3 linked regions of the Lepisosteus oculatus genome follow. Each later gene encodes a partner of the first gene's protein in a complex. Links are inferred from orthologs where the notes say so. Each region holds a gene or a part of one and is shown in the gene's direction. Other genes may lie near its edges.

What was found.
Region 2: smx5 (region 1) and prpf3 share a complex: the UniProt entries of both Homo sapiens proteins name them as parts of the precatalytic spliceosome. The link is inferred for Lepisosteus oculatus from reciprocal best matches to the Homo sapiens genes LSM2 and PRPF3.
Region 3: smx5 (region 1) and lsm5 share a complex: the UniProt entries of both Homo sapiens proteins name them as parts of the precatalytic spliceosome. The link is inferred for Lepisosteus oculatus from reciprocal best matches to the Homo sapiens genes LSM2 and LSM5.

The regions. Positions count from the first base shown.
Region 1 is NC_090708.1:10,044,354-10,048,105, reverse strand, and holds the start of smx5 (smx5), read left to right. Parts: upstream 1-1,360; 5' UTR 1,361-1,435; coding exon 1,436-1,438; intron 1,439-2,430; coding exon 2,431-2,498; intron 2,499-3,206; coding exon 3,207-3,237; intron 3,238-3,752. UniProt on the Homo sapiens protein: Plays a role in pre-mRNA splicing as component of the U4/U6-U5 tri-snRNP complex that is involved in spliceosome assembly, and as component of the precatalytic spliceosome (spliceosome B complex).
Region 2 is NC_090722.1:7,132,510-7,136,261, reverse strand, and holds the start of prpf3 (U4/U6 small nuclear ribonucleoprotein Prp3), read left to right. Parts: upstream 1-1,352; 5' UTR 1,353-1,553; intron 1,554-3,565; 5' UTR 3,566-3,572; coding exon 3,573-3,717; intron 3,718-3,752. UniProt on the Homo sapiens protein: Plays a role in pre-mRNA splicing as component of the U4/U6-U5 tri-snRNP complex that is involved in spliceosome assembly, and as component of the precatalytic spliceosome (spliceosome B complex).
Region 3 is NC_090701.1:6,001,054-6,004,805, reverse strand, and holds the start of lsm5 (U6 snRNA-associated Sm-like protein LSm5), read left to right. Parts: upstream 1-943; 5' UTR 944-1,002; coding exon 1,003-1,048; intron 1,049-2,137; coding exon of another isoform or gene 2,138-2,140; exon of another isoform or gene 2,141-2,220; intron 2,221-2,248; coding exon 2,249-2,344; intron 2,345-2,885; coding exon 2,886-2,913; intron 2,914-3,472; coding exon 3,473-3,545; intron 3,546-3,752. UniProt on the Homo sapiens protein: Plays a role in pre-mRNA splicing as component of the U4/U6-U5 tri-snRNP complex that is involved in spliceosome assembly, and as component of the precatalytic spliceosome (spliceosome B complex).

The DNA.
Region 1 (3,752 bases):
AAAAGCAAAGCGCTGATGTAGGCTTTTGATGCAGCGATTGATGTTTTGTTTCCGTCCTTTCGGCTGCTAAACGCTTTGCGGCTCACTTTTTTATTGGTGACTCTCGATTTACCTGCAAACGTTTTAGTGCCATAAATTATAGAGACTTCCACTGCAATTATGCAGTATAACTCAATCTAATTGTTGTTTTAATATGAATGAAATGTGGATTATTATGGTACCATGCATGGTGTTTTAATCTTGTGCAATCATTTGGGCCCCATTAATTTACACCTAACGTATTTTATTTTATATGTGGCTTTCTAGAAACATATGCGCTAGCGGGCTCGTTGGTCTAGGGGTATGATTCTCGCTTTGGGTGCGAGAGGTCCCGGGTTCGAATCCCGGACGAGCCCCATTTTGTTTACTGTGTTTTGAATGGTTTTCCGACCTTAATTAAATGAGTGACTCTCATATTCCAAAAAAGTAGCACCGATAATAATGACGTAAAGCCAATAACGTTAAATAAAGAATAAGTGAAATTAAGTGAAAACACTTCTCAGAATAACAAAATCGCCAGAAATAATATCAGCAACAGGTATTCTAACTAGAACTAGAACTGGAATGACCAAACTGATTTTTTTCATTTTAACTAAGAAACACCGATACGTATATATTTTCATCAATAGAGGGCAGAGCAGCAGAAAATCTCAACCTATAACAATATTCCCTTCGTATTCCAAAAGGGTCTAAATCATTACAGAACACAGCACAAACACCAACACAGTTGTAGGTTTTACTGTGTATTTTATATTTTATATTTGTGGGAAAATAAAAAATATTTTTATGGTTAAAAATGCACAGAAAAAAATACATTTTTGTTCTAGTACATATACTAAATACATCTTCGTTACCTTAAATGTATTGATTTGATTTTAAGCTAAATAGAAGCGATATTTTATAAACAATAAAGCAAACGTGATTTATGTTTTCAATTTTCAAATGTTATGCATGTCTTTAATTACAGAGACTATTAATGGTTAACAAACCACTGCAGTTACTGATACAGATAACAGTAACAAAATTAACTACACCTAAAATAACTAAGAACTTATTTTGGTAACTTTTTGACATAATAGTTAAAGCCTTTTGTTGAAAGCTTCCTGATATAATTCTTCGTGTGTAGGTCCCTTCGAAAATACACAATTCCTGTATCCTCTCTACCAATATGGCGATGCAATCTGCATGTGATAATAAAATATTACTCTTTCTTCCATAAACTCTATGGTTATACCACGTGTCGCCCAGCGGACAAAGCTGATTGGTGAATATCATTTCGGCTCATTTTTATGACGTCAAAGAAGTTGCTCCAATGGGTGAGTAGGACTTCTAATCCCGTTCTCGTTGGGATGTAAACGGAGAGTAAAGGCGCAGTGGGGGTCGAGTGTGAGTGAAAATGGTGAGATCCCTTTTCTGTTCAATTTTGAGAACAGTTTTTAATGCTTTCTGTGTACATTTCTTTTCACTATCAGAAATTAATTTCTGAAAATGGTTTTGACTACCGGCACCGTGACGAGATTAAAATTACTCAAACGTTTCGTCAAAATATCTTTAAAAAATACCAGAATTAATTTCTTTAATCCATTGGCAACCAATTCAAATTTGAAAGAGCATTGTAATAAAGCTAAATCTTGTTTTTTGAACAGCCGTACGGTTTGCATTCACCTCTCTTTGCAGCTGGATGTGCGTCTAATCCGCAGGAAAGCTTTGTTTTAAGTAGATGCTCGTTACGTGTTTCGAAGGGTCTGTGTGTCGCGGATGTTTCTTGGTGATTCCGATTCCGCTTTTTTTTTTAATAACTTGAGCTATTTAAACTATGATCACGTTTTTCGCTCTGTTGAATATTCCAGTTGAACTGTTACTATTACTAGCTTAACTGTTATTAGTAACTTAAAATTTGCGAACTTTTAGCGCCCGTACACGGTAGGTATGATTCATTAAGTAAAGCGCCGGAGAGCCCATCTCTAACGAAAAGTGTAGACGCTGAGGACATGGGTTTGGGATAGGCAAGGCCTAGTTTAGTGCTCTAGGGAAAGATGCTGAGCCGAACAGGTTGCCCCGAAAGGCATCTTAAACGCCCAGCTTCTTGTTATTCAATTTCGAGCTTGATCGGTGCAGTATCTGCAAATCAGACTTATTCCAGACCGTCTCTTGCTTTCCCGTAGTCTTTTTGGTACCTTTACTGAAGGAAATTCTGGAATTGTGTTGTTTACAGCAAGAATCACACGATATTAATGTGCTATCCCAGGCATGTTTCAAAAGTATTACTGATGTTCTTACAGACACAATTCCAAGTCTGCCTTTTTTTGTAGTGACCCCGTGTAGATTCTCATGTGATTTGGCCAGGATTGCTGGCAGGGGGTTTCACAATCCTTTTCTTTCCCTCTGCAGTTATTCTACTCGTTTTTTAAGTCCCTTGTGGGGAAGGACGTCGTGGTGGAGCTGAAAAATGATTTAAGGTGAGGGCCGCACTGGCCAAAAGAAAGAGAATTTCGAAGTTGTGGCAGTCGGTGAATTTGTAAACAAGGTTTTGCCTCAGTTTCCGGAAGTGGAGGAGTTTATTGTTCAGGATGAGAGCCAAGCTGGAACGAAAGCCTGTACATCCACTGGCCTTGCAGGACTGTGATCGGCCTCCTCTGTCATAGTGGGTTTACACTGGCCTGTTATCTCCAATGAATTTAACTAAGATCTCTTAATGTCTAGAATAAAATGACAGAAGATAACAGCACATCATATCCATTTAAAAAAAGAGAAAGCAAGGTCCAGGTACAATATTGTTTGTACCTCCTTATAGGTGTGTCAGAGCAGAAAGTTAAAATACTAAAGGGCAGCATTCATAAAGACCTGAAGGAATGAGGTGGTTATATCAGAAATACAAAAGACGATTCCAATGTCAATGAATGCTTAGAATGTATATTAAGGTTTTTATTAAGACAGCGCTTTCAAATGTGTTAGCAAACCACCAAACACAAAATAGTTCAACAATGGCAGTATGAACTTGATGCAGTACAGCAATTAAATTAGCTTATGTTCCATAATCCATAGCAACATTTTTGTTAAACAGTGTAAGATGAAGTCACAAGGAAAAAACCTTTAAGCATTTTTTTATGGAGCCCAAATTATCTAATTATAATGTTTTTTTTTTGTTATTGTGTGCTCTTCTATAGTATCTGTGGGACACTTCATTCAGTTGACCAGGTAGGTGTTTTGTTTCTCTATTCTATTTTTATGTATATCTTCTCCCTGTTAAATCCACAAATGTAAAAGTGGCAATAGTGAAAATCATTTTTTCATTCCAGGTTGTGAAAGGTTAGCTTTACCGTATTTGTATTTTACAGTGTCATTGCAAAATATTTCTGAGTGATAAAAAGCTATCCTTGTTGGATAGTTTCTTGACAACTCTTGTAAAATGGCTTAGGAGTTTGACAAGCAGCCTTCTCATTCTTGCTATTGCAGATCAGCAGTCGGTAATGGGGCTTTGCATGAAAATTCTCCATAAAAATTAAGCAGTTAAACCCCTGTCATTGAATCAGAGTTTATTTTATTAGTTGGTAATTTTTTCAGCCATGCATTTTGAAGCAAGTGATATTCATATTTATTTTCTCACCATATTTGGAGAACGTCACGTCTTATCCTGCTAATTTATAATTCAGGTGTTAAGTTGCCCGAAATGCAACACAGTCAACAACTCTCATTGCCAACTCGTACCTTAC
Region 2 (3,752 bases), on another chromosome or scaffold:
TTTGTTTTTCAAAAACTAAGTTGAAATTGACCAAAGTATTTAGTCTCCACAATTCTTTCTTTCACTGTTAAGATTACCGAACCTTTATTTTGGAGCCAGAACTTCCAAGCGCTTCCTGTGCCCCTCGATGAGCTCCGGGGCAGTTTGGCCCCCTCTCCGCAGGCCAGCTGCTCCAGCTCTCCCAGCTCTGAAGGGCTGGAGGGGCTGCAGGCGAGACAGCGATGCCACTGATGTGTTCTCATCAGACGAACGGAGGGGACCGCGGTCAGTTTAATTATCCGTGTGGCCTGGGCTCCCACTCTCAGTAACGAGACAGGGTTCTCCCACAGATCATGCTTATCTCACACGGCAGCCGGTGCCCAGACAAGACATACTGCAGATGTAACACTAATACAATGAATTAGTCAAATCAAAACCAGTTTTACCATTAAAAATAACAAACGAGTCTACACAGAACAATCACTTCATTAGCCTTCAGAAAGCAGAACTGGGTCAGAAAAGCGATAGACAATGCAGATTCAATATTTTCTAAATCTTTCTGATGGCAAATTGAGAAGGTTATTTTAGCCCTACTATCACTCTCGTTCACCGTGTCCTTGCCTGTAGAGATGGAATGTGGGGACTGCCGTTTTCTGTCGGCCATTTCACTTGATTGATTCATGTTTCAGGTTGTGCAGGAGTGAGGACTTCCTTTGTATGAGCCAGCTCAGGAGTGAAGGAGAAGCAGATCAAGTCAAGCTCAACTCCATATCGAGACAGGGTGGCTCCAGGGTCAACATTGCTACCTCACAGCGCACGTTTGTACGTGTGGAGTGCAGTGCAGTGTCGGTCATCCATCTGTACTTTTCATTTTTTTCTGCTCGCTTTTCACACAGTCACACCGCCCTCTTGTGGCGCATGCACGAACTGCGCCTCGAACTACCAGAGAAGAAAATTTTCCGTCTTTCTATTGTTGCAACCTTCGTTTAATTATGGGTTTTAAAAACTTTAAGCCGCGTTGTAATTGCTACTACCATGCGAGGCATCTGTTTCACAAAAAATATTTCCAGTAACCACGCCCGACTGTATGGGTTGACTGGGATGTGAAAAGCTGACCCTGCCAATGAAGGATCCCCCGCTAGCGGGCCGGAGTGTTACTTGCAGGGTGTGAATGGTCGTTGAAATCGAAAAATTCGCAAAAGCTAAGTAAAACAACAGACTGCACTAAAATGCCACTGCCCAGCTGCTTTAACTGCAGATAACGTGGAAACGTCACTGAGAAGCAGTCGCTTAAAAAGAATGCTCTCCCCCGTCATGTGACAAGGACTACGGCTTCGTTTACATCCTTTGGGACGATGGGCTTCGTGACGCCATTTCCGCTTCCGGCCGGACGTTCCCTGTACGTTGTTGGTGTCGCGCCGTGCGAGCCGAAGAGTTCACTCTTCTTCGGGAGCTGTTCGGGTTTATTTTACTGTTGAGTTTTTTTTTTCGATTATAGTAATATTTTTTAAAACGAAACTGCTGATATTTTACTTAAAAAGTCAACGTTTACCCATTTCAAGTGAACCCGCGTGGTGAGTACCGATTGGAAGAGGAACGGACGGTGTTAACGCGCCACATTATCGTCGTACTTTTGTTTATCGGTGTAGTTACTGGGGAATATGGGTTTTAGGAAGTGTTTCAGAACTGTTGATGTTCATCAGCGAAACTTTTATATCCCGGATATAATTAGACATTGTAACCGCAGGACTTGAGACTCCTAGTGCACAGGGTCGTGTATGTACGAGGGCATGGATGTGTCACGTTGACAACTTTCTTGTATAATTAATTGAACAGATAGTATAATAATTGCAAAAATGCTTAGTATGTTTCCTGTAGCATCACAGTTAGCACCATAGCGCACTGCTGGGCGTAAGTCCTGGGGTGGATGGGGCAGCTGGGAGGCGGACTATCAACACTGTAAGATCTGGAGTGGATACACTGAGGGGCGCGCTGGGGCTCTCTGAGCTCATGCTGGCAGTGGAGCCTCTGGTGACCGTGTGAGAGAGCGCTGGACTGAGTGACCGTGTGAGAGAGAGCTGGACTGAGGGACCGTGTGAGAGAGCGCTGGACTGAGGGACCGTGTGAGAGAGCGCTGGACTGAGTGACCAGCTGAGAGAGCACTGGACTGAGTGACCGTGTGAGAGAGAGCTGGACTGAGTGACCGTGTGAGAGAGAGCTGGACTGAGTGACCGTGTGAGAGAGAGCTGGACTGAGTGACCGTGTGAGAGAGAGCTGGACTGAGTGACCGTGTGAGAGAGAGCTGGACTGAGTGACCGTGTGAGAGAGAGCTGGACTGAGTGACCGTGTGAGAGAGAGCTGGACTGAGTGACCAGCTGAGAGAGAACTGGACTGAGGGACCGACTGAGGGACCGACTGAGAGAGCGCTGGACTGAGGGACCGACTGAGAGAGCGCTGGACTGAGGGACCGTGTGAGAGAGCGCTGGACTGAGTGACCAGCTGAGAGAGCGCTGGACTGAGTGACCAGCTGAGAGAGCGCTGGACTGAGTGACCGTGTGAGAGAGAGCTGGACTGAGGGACCGTGTGAGAGAGCGCTGGACTGAGTGACCGTGTGAGAGAGAGCTGGACTGAGTGACCGTGTGAGAGAGAGCTGGACTGAGTGACCGTGTGAGAGAGAGCTGGACTGAGTGACCGTGTGAGAGAGAGCTGGACTGAGTGACCAGCTGAGAGAGAACTGGACTGAGTGACCGTGTGACAGAGAGCTGGACTGAGGGACCGTGTGAGAGAGAGCTGGACTGAGGGACCGTGTGAGAGAGAGCTGGACTGAGTGACCGTGTGAGAGAGAGCTGGACTGAGTGACCGTGTGAGAGAGAGCTGGACTGAGTGACCAGCTGAGAGAGAACTGGACTGAGTGACCGTGTGACAGAGCGCTGGACTGAGTGACCAGCTGAGAGAGAGCTGGACTGAGGGACCGACTGAGAGAGAGCTGGACTGAGGGACCGACTGAGAGAGAGCTGGACTGAGGGACCGACTGAGAGAGAGCTGGACTGAGGGACCGACTGAGGGAGAGCTGGACTGAGGGACTGACTGAGGGAGAGCTGGACAGGGACCGACTGAGGGAGAGCTGGACTGAGGGACCGACTGAGGGAGAGCTGGACTGAGGGACCAGCTGAGGGAGAGCTGGACTGAGGGACCGACTGAGGGAGAGCTGGACTGAGGGACTGACTGAGGGAGAGCTGGACAGGGACTGACTGAGGGAGAGCTGGACTGAGGGACCGACTGAGGGAGAGCTGGACTGAGGGACCGACTGAGGGAGAGCTGGACTGAGGGACCGACTGAGGGAGAGCTGGACTGAGGGACCAGCTGAGGGAGAGCTGGACTGAGGGACCAGCTGAGGGACCAACTGAGAGAGCGCTGGACTGAGGGACTGACTGAGGGACCAACTGAGAGAGCGCTGGACTGAGGGACCGTCTGAGAGAGCGCTGGACTGAGGGACCGTCTGAGGGAGCGCTGGACCGAGGGAGCGCTGGACCGAGGGACTGACTGATGTACACGAGCCGAGTGACCGGGTGCTCTGTGTCCGCAGGGCTGGGATGTCGCTGTCGAAGCGGGAGCTGGAGGAGCTCCGCCCCTGGGTGGAGCGGACGGTCAAGAAGGTGCTGGGCTTCTCCGAGCCCACCGTCGTCACGGCCGCGCTGCACTGCGTCGGCAAGGGGCTGGACAAGCGCAAGACCACAGGTCCGTGTGGCCGGCCGGCCGGCCGCTGCCCGTCG
Region 3 (3,752 bases), on another chromosome or scaffold:
CTCATACCGTGGGCGCACACGCATCGCCTGACATTATAGATAACAAACGTACAGTGATTAAGCACACCACGATTCGTCATTTGGCAGAGGCCTGAGCAGTCTTCGCTAGGTATTAAAACAACGGAAAAAATACTGGAAACAGTCATGAGAAGGAACAAGTAATAGGTTTATTCCATGCTGAAAAAAAGAAGAAAGAGAACACAGCGTTTCGGCCTGGAGCCTTCTTCAGGTGTGGCCGAAACGCTGTGTTCTCTTTCTTCTTTTTTTCAGCATGGAATAAACCTATTACTTGTTCCTTTGCAGCCTACGCATGCTGACGCAGCTACCCACCTGAACTACAGTCATGAGAATACTTATTAATACTGTCAACTTAATCAAACGCCGCGGTCCAATGTTTTGAATTCGTCTAAAAGATTGGATGTTTACACGCCAGTTGGAAAAAGGCTTTGAGGTACACTATTCGGTGAAGTTAATTATTTTGAAGCTCCTCTATAGTTAAATTCCCAGCCTCCCTCACTCTCACTCTCACTCTCACCTCTCACCTGTGATCTGAACCTCACAGTGCCTTCTTCCTTTCTTTCTTACCAAAAATCCAAACACACATTGAAAATCTACCTCTACCATACATGTCAAAAGCTCACTCCCCATCATTTCTATCCCTTTTATTCTGTTGATGCATATTTTTGCACATAACCTGTTACCCTTTTGTTATTTTGCACATTGCCTGTTGTTGTTTTTTGCACATTGCCTGTTGTTGTTTTTTTCTATTTGTACTATTTATTTCCGAGAGCTAGCTAAATAGCATTTCGTTATACCATATACCATGTATATGAGTGTAATGACAACAAACTTGAAAACTTGAGCTGGTTCTCGTGCGAGCAGAAGAACATCACACCGCTCTGTTTTCTAATATACATTAGGTGACGGTCGGGTGTCGATTGTTTCTGTCTGATTTGCACGTTGAAGTTTTCTTCGATTGGTCGAGTCTACCTTCCTTCAAACATGGCGGCGGCTCCGGCTACAAACCCTTCACAATTGCTCCCGCTTGGTATGTGAATTAAACGTGAAGCAAAACATTTTAACGCGAAGTTGTTGAAGTACTAAGACCTGCCTAAGTAGTACCGTCGGTGGTGTACATTTTACAATCTAAAAAATATACCACAAGCGTCTATAGCCTAAGACTGCCAACTGGCCGGTTTTAATAAGGACGTGCAGGTGGTCCGTGAATTAACCCAATCGTTCGTTTTTGTTCTTTTTGAATTATGAATTGAAGTATTGAGTTGCAGTTATGTATCTGTCCCTCATTGCACTGTAATGCTAAGTTTGTCTATACGCAACTTTCCTGTAAATTACTAATTTTTGTTTACGACTTGGCCCATTTCTAAACAGTCCAAACACGGTACTGTCTCAATCTTTGCTGTAGTGTTTAGCCGAATATTTCCCAAAAAGTAAGAAAGAACAAAAAAAAAGTAGAAGCGTTCGTTGACGGTTTATGTTCGCTAATGTGAAATTATACCTAGCTATGTCCATCTAGTCATGTTATTAATTAACCAGATAAGGCAGTAGGGAACAAACGATCATTTCCATGGTGCAATGGATCTGTTTATAAAGCAGGGCATTTACTGTAATAAATGTGTAATATGCCAATGTGTAATATGTGTACACGGCATCAGCGTCTCTAACACTCCAAGTTTCCGCACGAAGTTGTGGATTATTATTTTCTTGTAGATGAAACAATTCCACATCATATTGTATGGTTATTCTTTGCCGTCTCACGCTGTGTGTTACAGCAATAACTTCCTCGATTGTGTCGACTTACATCATTAAAACATTGTATTTATCGTGAGCAGAGGAAAATCCATTTTTTTATATAATTTTCCTATTTTAGAAGAAAAAATGTCATTTATTTTGCTAATGAGGTCGATGATATCCAATGAACTTGTTTTCGGAGCAGTTTATTCTTTGATCATGTTACTTGTTTCGAATATGTTTAACCCCCGTATCCTTGAAGTCTGTTCATGAGCACTGCTGCTGTCTAAAAATGTCCGCTTAATTTATATTTGTGTCTGTGAAGTAATCAGTTCTAGTGATTTCTCCTGTGTCATTCTGATGTTTTTATATAACAAGGGTAACTTACCATTACAGTATCCTAGAAGTGTCAGCAGATGTGGCTAAGTTCTATGAAACAGCTGAAATCTTATCACAGTATTCCTTGTTCTCTCCTCTCCCCTCCCGTTATCTTCTTTAGAGCTTGTGGACAAATGTATTGGTTCCCGGATTCATATTGTGATGAAGAACGACAAGGAGATTGTCGGCACTCTGTTGGGATTTGATGACTTTGTCAGTATCCTTTTTACAGTAATATGGATGTTGTATATCATCACATGTGAAGTTAAGACTAACAGTTTTGATCAATAGTAATAAGTAATGGAGCTAGTTGGTTGTTCAATATGTTGTCTTTTTTCAGCATTGATTTCAAGATTGCACATCCAAGAAAAACCTTTTTACCAGATACAGACACATTTTGTAATTCAAAATGGGTCATAAACTGGTGAATAATAGAATCTTTGCTTTTCTTTGGAATGGCAGATTGTATCATGACAAAAATATACAGTCTGGTGGAGTATTCGCGTATTGTGTTGCCTGAGATAAAATTCCATTAAAGTGAAGCAAGGTCACATCATAAAAATTCAACTTCTTGCAGTAAGATTGTACTTGGCATATGTTTTACGAAAGCTTATGCACAATGCAGTGTCTATAACAGAATTGTTTTACGTTAAAATATAATAAGATGTAAAATACTAAATCTATTGCTGAAAACTAAAAACATAACAATTTATGGTTTTAACTTTGTAAAACATGCTTTCCTTTACTTGCATTCTCAGACATGGTGCTTGAAGATGTCACTGAATTGTAAGGTTTTGTTTTGTTCATGCTAAAATAAGAAATGCTATGATGTTCAGATTGTTACAGGCAAAAATCTTTAATTTTCTCATTGAAAATGAGCACTGAATTAATGCATATTCAAATTGCAATTTGTTTTCTTACATAAGAAAGTCTGTTACTTTATTTACATCTTGACTCGTGCATTTGAAGAGTTAAATTCTGATCATAATGTAATTTTTTTACAGAACTGGAGTACACTATTTTAATAACTTCTAGCTTTATTGCCTTTAGACATTAGCAAAATAAAATATAAAAAAATCATAATCTTAATAAAAATGTCAAAAATCAACAACAATGTTGTATTATTAATTTCAATTAATAATTCATAGTGTCATCTTAACACAATTCACAAATACCTTTCATTACTAAAATCGCTTGTGTTCTCATTTCAGAGAATTTGATTTTTGTGAATTGCTTATGGGTACAAAGTTGTTTATTTGTGTTAGTTTTCTTTTCATTTTAAGGCTGTACTATTAGTGATTATCGATTAGTAGCATCGTTTATTTCAGGAAGCCTTGTTTTTTAGTGAGATCACACCAGAGGGAAGGAGGATAACCAAACTGGATCAGATCTTATTGAATGGAAACAACATCACCATGGTAAGTGTGTTAATAAAGGAAAACCTAATGGTGATACTTTTCTTGTGATTTATACAGTTTAGGCAATGATTCCTTTAAAATTGAACTCAATTGACAGGCCACAACACTGTCAAGCTGGATATACCTACTTACTTGCACTTATTTGTCTTTTTGTATTGGATGTTGTTAACTTAAAAACATTAAAACATTAAAGATTTGAATGTAATC